2 linked regions of the Coturnix japonica genome follow. The protein of the gene in region 1 purifies or fractionates together with the protein of each later gene. This does not show direct contact. Links are inferred from orthologs where the notes say so. Each region holds a gene or a part of one and is shown on either strand. Other genes may lie near its edges.

Region 1 (4,557 bases):
ATAAAAGAGACAAAACAAACATATTTATTAGCAGCATCAAAAATGTTATAAACTATCCACAAACTGGACAAGAAAGAAGTGAATGGCCTGCAATAAGCCATGGACAAGTATTCTGCAAAGATTTACCTCTCATCATCTTTTTTGCCTTCTTGTAGTTCCTTGGGTGGTTTTCTATACCCTACATCTATCTGCCAGAGCAGCTCTCCAGTTTCAAAGAGGCAAAGTTTGCCCGTGGCAGTGCCACATACGATTTCTCCCTCAGACAGCCAGGCATGGCACAAGTAGTTCGGTGGCTCTCCCTTTTGTAGATTTGTCTGCTTCAAAGTCCTTTCACTGTATTTATAGAGTTTAAAAAAGCCATTTCCAGTCAAACAAATCTGTGTGTTGTCATGAGGACTAAAGCTCACCTATGGAACAAAAAGAGAGAAATGGTTTTACACAGCTATGTTCGCTTTCAGAAAAAAAAGAAATAAGAATAAAAATCTGTTCTATGAGAGTATGATACCTGTTCTATGTAAGTATGATACCTGTTCTATGTATGATACCCGTTCTATGTAAGTATGATTCCTGTTCTATATGAGTATGATTCCTGTTCTATGTAAGTATGATACTTGTTCTATGTAAGTATGATGCCTGTTCTATATAAGTATGATTCCTGTTCTATGTGAGTATGATTCCTGTTCTATGTGAGTATGATACCTGTTCTAGACAGGTATGAGATGCAGAAAACAAACAAGGGAAAGAGAGACTGAGAAATACACTTTGCACTTTTCCCTCTTTCAGGACTGTGTTTATCAATGTGACACGTGATGTTATGGATACGTTAATTCTATTAATCTAAGAAGCCTTCTGCATCACTGTAATATGGAAGAGGGAGCTGTCCCTGCCTTCAGGATCAAGCAAGGCAAAAATACATCTTTGCTGCCATCTACCTGAACAGTGCCAGCCATTCTTAGAAGTCAGGAAGAATTTCTGTATTTCAGGAAAGCCAAACCTTACCATACCGCATTTTAACTAGTGTAAATGGGTGTGTACTGATGGAACCTGCCCCCAGCGGCCGTTACCTGGCAGACGCCGCTGCCCTTGTCCTCGAGGCGCAGCACGGCCAGCAGCTGCTGCTTCTCCCACAGCCACAGGACGAGATGCGCCTCGGGAGGTTCGGTGAGAGCCACCAGGTGCCGGCCGTCCGGGGAGAAGGCCAAGGCCGCCACTTCTCTCACCGGCAGCTCTGCGGCCGTCAATGTTCTCCGCCGCCGCGGCGGCGCCGCCGTCATCTCGTACACCGTCAGGGTGGGCTCCTCCTCCGCCGTCTCGGACACGGCCATGTACCGCCCGCTGCTGCTCACGGCCAGCGCCCGCACACCCTGGCTCTTGTCGCGGCCTGCGGAGGGGAGAGAGGGATCAGTGCGGGACCGGGCGGCGGTGAAGGCGGCGGGGCCGGGCGAGGGGAGCTGCGACCTGGGATGAACTTGTGCCATCTGTGCTCGGTGTGGAACAGCGCACAGGCCGCCCCCGCCGCGTGCAGCACCAGATGCTCCTCCAGGAAGCACAGGCCGCCGGACACCCCGGGCCTGCAGCCGAAAACGGCCACCGGCTCCACCTCCGCCGCCGCCTCCGGCTCCGCCATGACGCCAACGCCGTCCCCGTAGCAACCGCGGCTCCGAGGCTGACGGATGTGACGACAGTGCGCTTGTGTGTGCCCGGAAGCGGCGGTAGAAGGAGCGGCAGCATGGAGCGGTCCGGCATGGAGCGGCACAGCTCGGGGTCTGACTGCTCGGATTCCGAGGACTCCTCGCTGTCGGACTCGGAGGTGAGCCCGTCCCTACACCCGGTAACGGGACCGCCACCCGGAGCCGCCTCAGGGCACCGCGGCCCGGTCTGAGCGCTTTTTGTCCACAGCTCCAAGAGGCCTTCGCCAAGGGAGAGCTGAAACCGGGGCTCAACGTGGTGCTGGAGGGGCAGCCGAAGAAGCACAACGATGTGGTGAGGGGCGGCCGACGGGACGGGACGGGGGGGAGCGGGGATGGAGCTGCATTGAGGCCTGAAAGGGTGGGTTGGGCCGCGGCACGAGGGGAACTGCTCCTCAGATTGAGAGAGACCAGCAGAGGGCCACAAAGATAACGAGGAGCAGCTGGAGCCTATTCTGTGACCTGGATATTCACTTTTGCTGTTCGTGTGTCTCACAGAATCACAGAATCATAGAATTATCAAGGTTGGAAAAGACCTAGAAGATCATCTAGTCCAACCACAGATCATCTAGTCCAACCATAGATCATCTAGTCCAACCATAACCATCTCATTGCTCAGAGCTGTGCTTCCCTTTCCTAGGATGGTTTGAAGCAGTGCCTGTCCGATTTCAAGCAGCAACTGGCTTGGGTGGAAAGGCTGGATGTGACGCTGGATCCAATTGCGGATGCTGTGGAGTCTGTCTCACAAAGCGATGCTAACAAAGATGCTGTTGATCCTGAGAATGATTTCCAGAGGGAGATGAGTTTGTAAGTGGAAAAAGAGATTCTTCATAGGTTCTCTATGCACTGCTGCATGCCTGGTGTCTGGTTTCACATGGATGTTGTAATTTATCACTGGGCTCTTGGCCCATCTTATGCTACATCTGATGATTCCAAACGTTTTACAAAATAACTACAAATAAATGCTAATATATTTAATCTGATCCCTGACAGGGAGTAATTTCTCCCCTTGCAACAAACCTCCATCTGTTGCTTAAAAGTGTCTTTAGGGAGTCTCTGGATTGCAACACTATGGCTTTAACAGAGGATGGCTTTACCTACGTGGATGTGTAGTTCTCTTTGCTGTGTATTTTACAGTATCATGTGTAAAACCTGAGCTGTCTGGTGCCCCATCACTGAGCTGCTGTTCTTTTCTCTCCCCAGTTACAGGCAGGCACAGGCAGCAGTGCTGGAGGCCTTACCAAGGCTGCGTAAGCTCCATGTTCCCACCAGAAGGCCGGATGATTACTTTGCAGAGATGGCCAAATCAGACCAGCAGATGCAGAAGGTACGTGCCATGAATAATAGCTTTCATTCCTGTGCAGTGTGTTGGTTTTAAGTCTGTGTTAAGCATTAACTATGTGGTCCTTAATAATTGCCATCATCTTTTTGACAAAGGCCTATGACAGTGTTTGTATACAAGGGCTGTTGTGCAGTGTAGAGACTTCCACAACAGGCTGGAAGTGTAAATAGAAGAGTGGTTTACATTGTGTCCCATATATAATTAGTACTAAAAATTAAATTTTCTTCATATATGTAACGGTGAAAAAACTTGTAGTGAGTGAAGGCATTAATATGATCCTTTATTTTTTCCCCTAGTTTATATTTGGTGTATTCAGGCTCTCAGTGCTTTTCAGCTGAGGGTGTTGAGTTAAGTTGGACAGGTAGCAGTGATTATGGAGAAATTATCTGATTGAGGCAGATTTTCTTTTTGCCTTCGTTGATATTGTTTATATAATTACTGATTTCAGAACTGCACAGACATCTTAAAGTTCTCATGCTTTCCTTTGCATTACTCATTAATTTTCTTCCTTTTCCTCTAAAAAGATTCGGCAGAAGCTTAAGAGTAAGCAGGAAGCCATGGAGAAGTCTGAGAAAGCGAAACAGCTCCGTGCAATGAGAAAATATGGCAAGAAGGTGAGGAGGAGCTACAAAAGGGACCTGTCTATAACATGAATCAAGAGCCTAAATGAGCTTAGAAAGTGGGATTGCTGGAGGCAGGATAAAATGGAATCTCTCTGACCTTTTGTCAAGCTGCCTTAGAGGGAGACAGTGGTGGGGTACCAGGGCCTAAAGAAGGTATGGGGTGCTAGAGAAAAACAACACTAACATCTTGCCTCTTTTCTCAGGTACAAATAGAGATTCTACAGAGGAGGCAAAAGGAGAAAAAAAATATGTTAAATGCAGTCAAGAAGTATCAGAAAGGTAAAGTTAACTTGTCTAAGAGACTAAATGGGGATTGTGATGTGTCAGGAGTCTAAGGCACTGTGATATGTGATGTCATTTCTGCTGCTGAGCAATAATCTTGAAAGGTTGCTGCTATACACAACCACACACTTGTGGCAGAAAAAATCCTTGGTCTTCAGTGAGGGTGATTTGTTGCTATTATTTAGGCTGAAAAATTGGTTTCTGTGGTGGTAGCTGAGCAGCTGTTTTGTCCTTGCTCTTGCAGGTCTCACTGACAAGCTGGATTTTCTGGATGAAGAACAGACTTCATCTCAGGGGAATAAGAAAGGCGGTGCAAATCGGCGAGTGAAGAAAGGGTGAGATTAGAAAAGAAAGATATTTAAAGGCAGAATCCCTGATTTTTCGAGCTCTGTAGGAGTTTTGTATGACAGGAAACCTGTGTAAATTACTGCTTGTGAAAAATAAGTCCCAAATGACTTTCTGTCCCTAGAGAGGAGAACTGTGGCCTATTAGAATACAGACTGAATTCTTCCCCTTTATCAGAGGGGAAACTTCTATGAGAGCTGATGGGAATCTGTCAGCAGATACTTGTTTCCTTCTTGGGAGCTTCCCAAGGAAAGGTGTGTAAGTGGTGATGCAGCAG
Region 2 (4,441 bases), on another chromosome or scaffold:
TCTGCTATGGTTCACAGCAATGGGACACTTGTTCAACAAGTACTAAACTGCAGGTTCCAACCTCTTAAGGATGAGAGCTTCCACCCTTGGAAGAGCTTGAGGTAAAGAAGTCAGAAGTTTTACTAAGACTGGATATCTACCTATGGACAAGCACAGGTTTCACTGTGCAATTACAGGCTATACATACACACAGTCAAGGAATATATACATATATATACACTATACCTGGCAAAGAACTGGCTCCAAAAATGGTCAAGCAGTCAAGAAGAACTGCCAAATTGATTCGGAACACGACTGATTCTTCCTGAACATGAAACTCCTGAAAAATTTCCGCCTTTGGGAGAAAAGTAAGAGATGAAAACAGTGAAGCTTTTCCAATTACTTCACAACTTACTCATGTCTTACATTTTCAGTGACTGGGAGATCTCTTCATTTGCTTATAACTACCTAACACATAATCACAGTAATGGAGATGTTTGTTTTCTTAGGTACAAGTGATACGGCACAAGGAAATGATAACAAGTTACACCAGGAGAGGCACAGATTGGGTATGAGGAAGACTCTCCTTCTGAAGAGGGTGATCAACCATTGGACCAGGCTGCTTGGGGCAGTGGTGGAGGTGCTTAAAAAATGTGTGGACGTGGCATTAGGAGACCTGGGTTAATGATAATGAGGAGGTCAGGTTGATGGCTGGACTTAGCATAGAAACATGAAGGTTGGAAAAGACTGCTGAGATCATCTAGTCCAACCATCAGCCATCCCCACAAGACTCCTTAAACCACGTCCTTCAGTGCTACATCTCCTCATTTCTGGACACCTCTGGGGACAATGACTTCAATTCCCTGGGTAGTCTGTTCCAACACCTCTCCACTCTTTCTGAGAATAAGTTTTTCCTTACGTACAACATGAACCTCCCCTGGAACAACTGGATACCATTACCTCTCATCCCATCAAGGTCTTTTCCAACATGAATGATTTTATGATCTGTCTATGGCAGGATTTGACAATGTGACTGTTCCCAACCACTATATGATTAATTAATGGCCACATTCTAATCACTGCATCTTCCTCACATTAGCTTCTGCAAATACTCTATGGCTTTACTAAAGCTTCCCCTTCCCCACAGCTCATCTTCTGTACACCAGTTCTACCACATCACTTATTCGAGTCCCTAACGCTGCTACCAGCCCCTTCTCACCGTTAACCACGGGAAGCAGCTCAGCCTCCAGACCCTACCTGGATAAACGCATTGGCCTGAATGCATTTGGCATCCTCTACAGTCACCCGAAGCCCGTTGTCTGTGGCGAAGCAAGTGGCATGATCCTGGAAGTGGACGGCCCTAAGGAGGCTGGACAGATTGCGGGCGTTATCCAGGCTGGCCGTCAGGACGTACTGCTCGCTGCTGCCGGGGGACTGCGTGGAGAACGGCATGGCCGGCTCCTGGAGCCCAACGGGACCGGACCGGGCCTACCGCGGCCTAACGGGACCGGACCGGGCCTAGCGCGGCCTGACGGGACCGGACCGGGCCTACCGCGGCCTAACGGGACCGGACTGGCCTAGCGCGGCCTACACGGGCCTACAGGGGCCTGAAGCCACGGCTATCAGCTGCGCCGGCGCTTCCGGTGGCGCGGCGAGCGGGCGGAAGTGCGAGGTGCGCACGGCGCGGTGTCTGTAAGATGGCGGTGTCCAAGAGGAAGCGTGAGCTGCCGGCTGCTGCGAGGCCGAAGAAGCGAGTGAAGGCGGCTCCGGCTGCGAACGAGGCCACCGCTAAGGCTGCCCCGGACGGAGCGGCCCCGGAGGAGTACAGCATCCCGGCGCCGGTCTCTCAGGTAGCGGCGGGGCGCGTTGGGGCCCAGCTGGGCGGCGCTGGGAGTCGGGGCGCTGAGGGGAGCTCAGGCACTGCGCGGGTTGTGAGGGCTGTAACAGTCTAATTATGTTACTGCAAACAGAAGCAGCGTCCTGGGAAGCGGTTCCATTCTAATTATGTTACTGCAAACAGAAATAGCGTCCTGGGAAGCGCTGACAAAAAAGCGCTGTTCTGGCCGATCGATTCAGCTGTATTACCACAATCTAGAAACGCCTTCAGTTGAGTTCTATGCAGACGATTTTATGGATGATGAGTGTGCTTGGTGTCGGAGTTGCTCTGAGGAGCCTCAGGAATGGCTGTAGTTGCTGCTGCTTCTCGTTGAAGCACATTGCGGCCCGAGCCCGCAGCACATGTTCATCTGAAGGCAGCCTGTGCCTCTGCCGGGCCCTCTTATTAAAACATCCATTGTGTGCGGAGTTCTTAATGTTGTTATGTGCCTTTTGTATATATGCGTTGCAGTGAGCAGTAATGTCAGAAGTCGAACCTTTGCGGAGTTTCTGTGCGGGTGATGAGATTGCTATGAATGTTCTTGCTCATCTTTTCTGTTGCTGCGGTTCAAATGGGTGTTGTTGTAAGAAACTTTAAGAAAATTAAGGTTTTTGTTTAACGCTTTTGTCTGTTTTTTAGGGTAAATGGAAGAACAAGGAGCGGGTGCTTATTTTCTCCTCTCGTGGGATTAATTTCAGAACAAGGCACCTAATGCAAGACCTGAGAACGCTGATGCCTCATTCTAAAGCAGGTAGGGCTGAGTGTTATCCGTAGTGCATTTGCAGAGTGACCTCAAACCAAGTATTTCTGAGAATCTGGTACTGACTGATTGTGAATAATGGGACATATAAAATGTAGTCTGAATATCTGTTACAGTGCAGAAAAGCGTCATAGGACACATTCTAGAATTCGGAAAATACATGATAACAAACCAGGCTTATTCAGTTTCAATTGGATTGAACAAATGATTGAAGCCAGGAATTGGACTCCATGATCCTTGTGGAACTTTTGCAACTCAGGATATTCTGTGATAGCATGACGTGGCTAAAAAGCCCTTGGTAGCTGATCTTCCATTCACAGCCAGTAAAAACTCGTGCAAACACCGTTATAAAATGTTGTTGTTTAATTATGTGTTCAGGCCTTCTCAACGTTGTTTTTGTCTTCCAGATACTAAAATGGACCGTAAAGACAAGCTGTTTGTAATTAATGAGGTAATTCTGGTTTTAATCTTTATTTTCTGTGAGCAAGAGGCAACCAAGCTCAAAACATCTCTTTTTAGTTGTAGAGTTGTGTAACTTCATAGCTGAAAATTGATACTGAAAAGGTGGTGATGCCAAAAGAAAGCTGTCTTTTGGTTAAGAGACATTAGAAATTAATATGGAAAATTTCTGAAGCTGTCTTCATGACTGCATAAATAACCCTTTTGATATGTCTTGTGTAGGTGTGTGAAATGAAAAACTGTAATAAGTGCATCTTCTTTGAAGCTAAAAAGAAACAAGATCTTTATATGTGGTAAGTAAATACCATGTTTTGTTTGTTAATTGCATTTGTATACATAACTGGCAATGCTTCTGCCTAAAGTTTGTTACCGTAATAGTGAGGCTTCTTCAAATACTGCTTAGTTTAAAGTCGTAAAGAATACTGCTCTTCTGCTGTATGTAGTACAAACTTAAAACATGTAGTGGGTTCCACAGACCAGTTTACTAAAACTTCTTACAGAATTGTTTAGAAAGCAAGTATGCATAAGTATCCTAAAGGATATCCTAAAAGTGCTGCTATAAAAGTGACTGAGATTACTTCCTTACAGAAATGATTTGTTGGAGTGTACTGTAGATATCCAGCACAAGTTCATGGCTGCTCTTAAGGTTTTTTTCTCTCATGTCTCTGTTCTGCAGGCTTTCAAATACTCCACAGGGACCATCAGCTAAATTCTTAGTGCAGAACAGTAAGTTGTTTGATATTACTATGTTTAGATTCTTACTTTCTTGTCTATTTAACTTTGTCTAAGTAATAAAATGTGGTTTTTTTTATATAAAAAAAATAAAAAATTACTAGTTCACACGCTGGCAGAATTGAAGATGACAGGAAACTGCTTAAGAGGCTCACGGCCCCTTCTGTCCTTTGATCCAGTAAGTATAGTTCTTATGAACATGTAATACATTAAATATTTACATTACTTGTGCATTTAAGTTTGTATCTAAAATGTGATTTTTGCCATTGTAGACTTTCGACAAGGAGCCACACTATGCCTTGCTGAAGGAGTTGTTTATTCAGGTCAGTATGTAGCATGGACATCATCTTTTGTAAGTTATTTTAATTTCTCTTTTTGTACCCCCATACAAATCGTACACTTCGGAGTCTGCAGAAAATGCTCAAAAGAATTAGGGTTGTTCTTAAAGTCACTTGGACTCTTGTCCTTAAGCTTATTTTATGTAATCTGGAATCAGAGACTTTGTAACTTAAATTAATGCTTGTCCCTTTACAACTACAGTTACTGAGAAGTGCTGCTTTTTATTTCAGATATTTAGTACACCACAGTATCATCCCAAAAGCCAGCCTTTTGTAGATCATGTTTTCACGTTCACC

The links. Proteins that work in one complex are often made in the same cells at the same time.
Region 2: the proteins of EBNA1BP2 (region 1) and BRIX1 purify together in Homo sapiens (affinity purification with mass spectrometry; 4 studies listed by BioGRID and IntAct, counting the BioPlex papers as one, with this or other methods). This does not show direct contact. The link is inferred for Coturnix japonica from reciprocal best matches to the Homo sapiens genes EBNA1BP2 and BRIX1.

The regions. Positions count from the first base shown.
Region 1 is NC_029523.1:17,301,336-17,305,892, reverse strand, and holds the start of EBNA1BP2 (probable rRNA-processing protein EBP2), read left to right. Parts: upstream 1-1,729; coding exon 1,730-1,831; intron 1,832-1,899; coding exon 1,900-2,049; intron 2,050-2,328; coding exon 2,329-2,495; intron 2,496-2,891; coding exon 2,892-3,015; intron 3,016-3,554; coding exon 3,555-3,644; intron 3,645-3,856; coding exon 3,857-3,932; intron 3,933-4,179; coding exon 4,180-4,270; intron 4,271-4,557. Other genes in the region: CFAP57 (cilia- and flagella-associated protein 57), read right to left, coding at 127-407, 1,065-1,381, 1,459-1,627. UniProt on the Homo sapiens protein: Required for the processing of the 27S pre-rRNA.
Region 2 is NC_029547.1:9,686,006-9,690,446, forward strand, and holds the start of BRIX1 (ribosome biogenesis protein BRX1 homolog), read left to right. Parts: upstream 1-1,630; 5' UTR 1,631-1,676; coding exon 1,677-1,829; intron 1,830-2,494; coding exon 2,495-2,606; intron 2,607-3,022; coding exon 3,023-3,066; intron 3,067-3,296; coding exon 3,297-3,367; intron 3,368-3,750; coding exon 3,751-3,800; intron 3,801-3,910; coding exon 3,911-3,984; intron 3,985-4,078; coding exon 4,079-4,129; intron 4,130-4,375; coding exon 4,376-4,441. Other genes in the region: cell cycle checkpoint protein RAD1, read right to left, coding at 226-334, 1,237-1,431. UniProt on the Homo sapiens protein: Required for biogenesis of the 60S ribosomal subunit.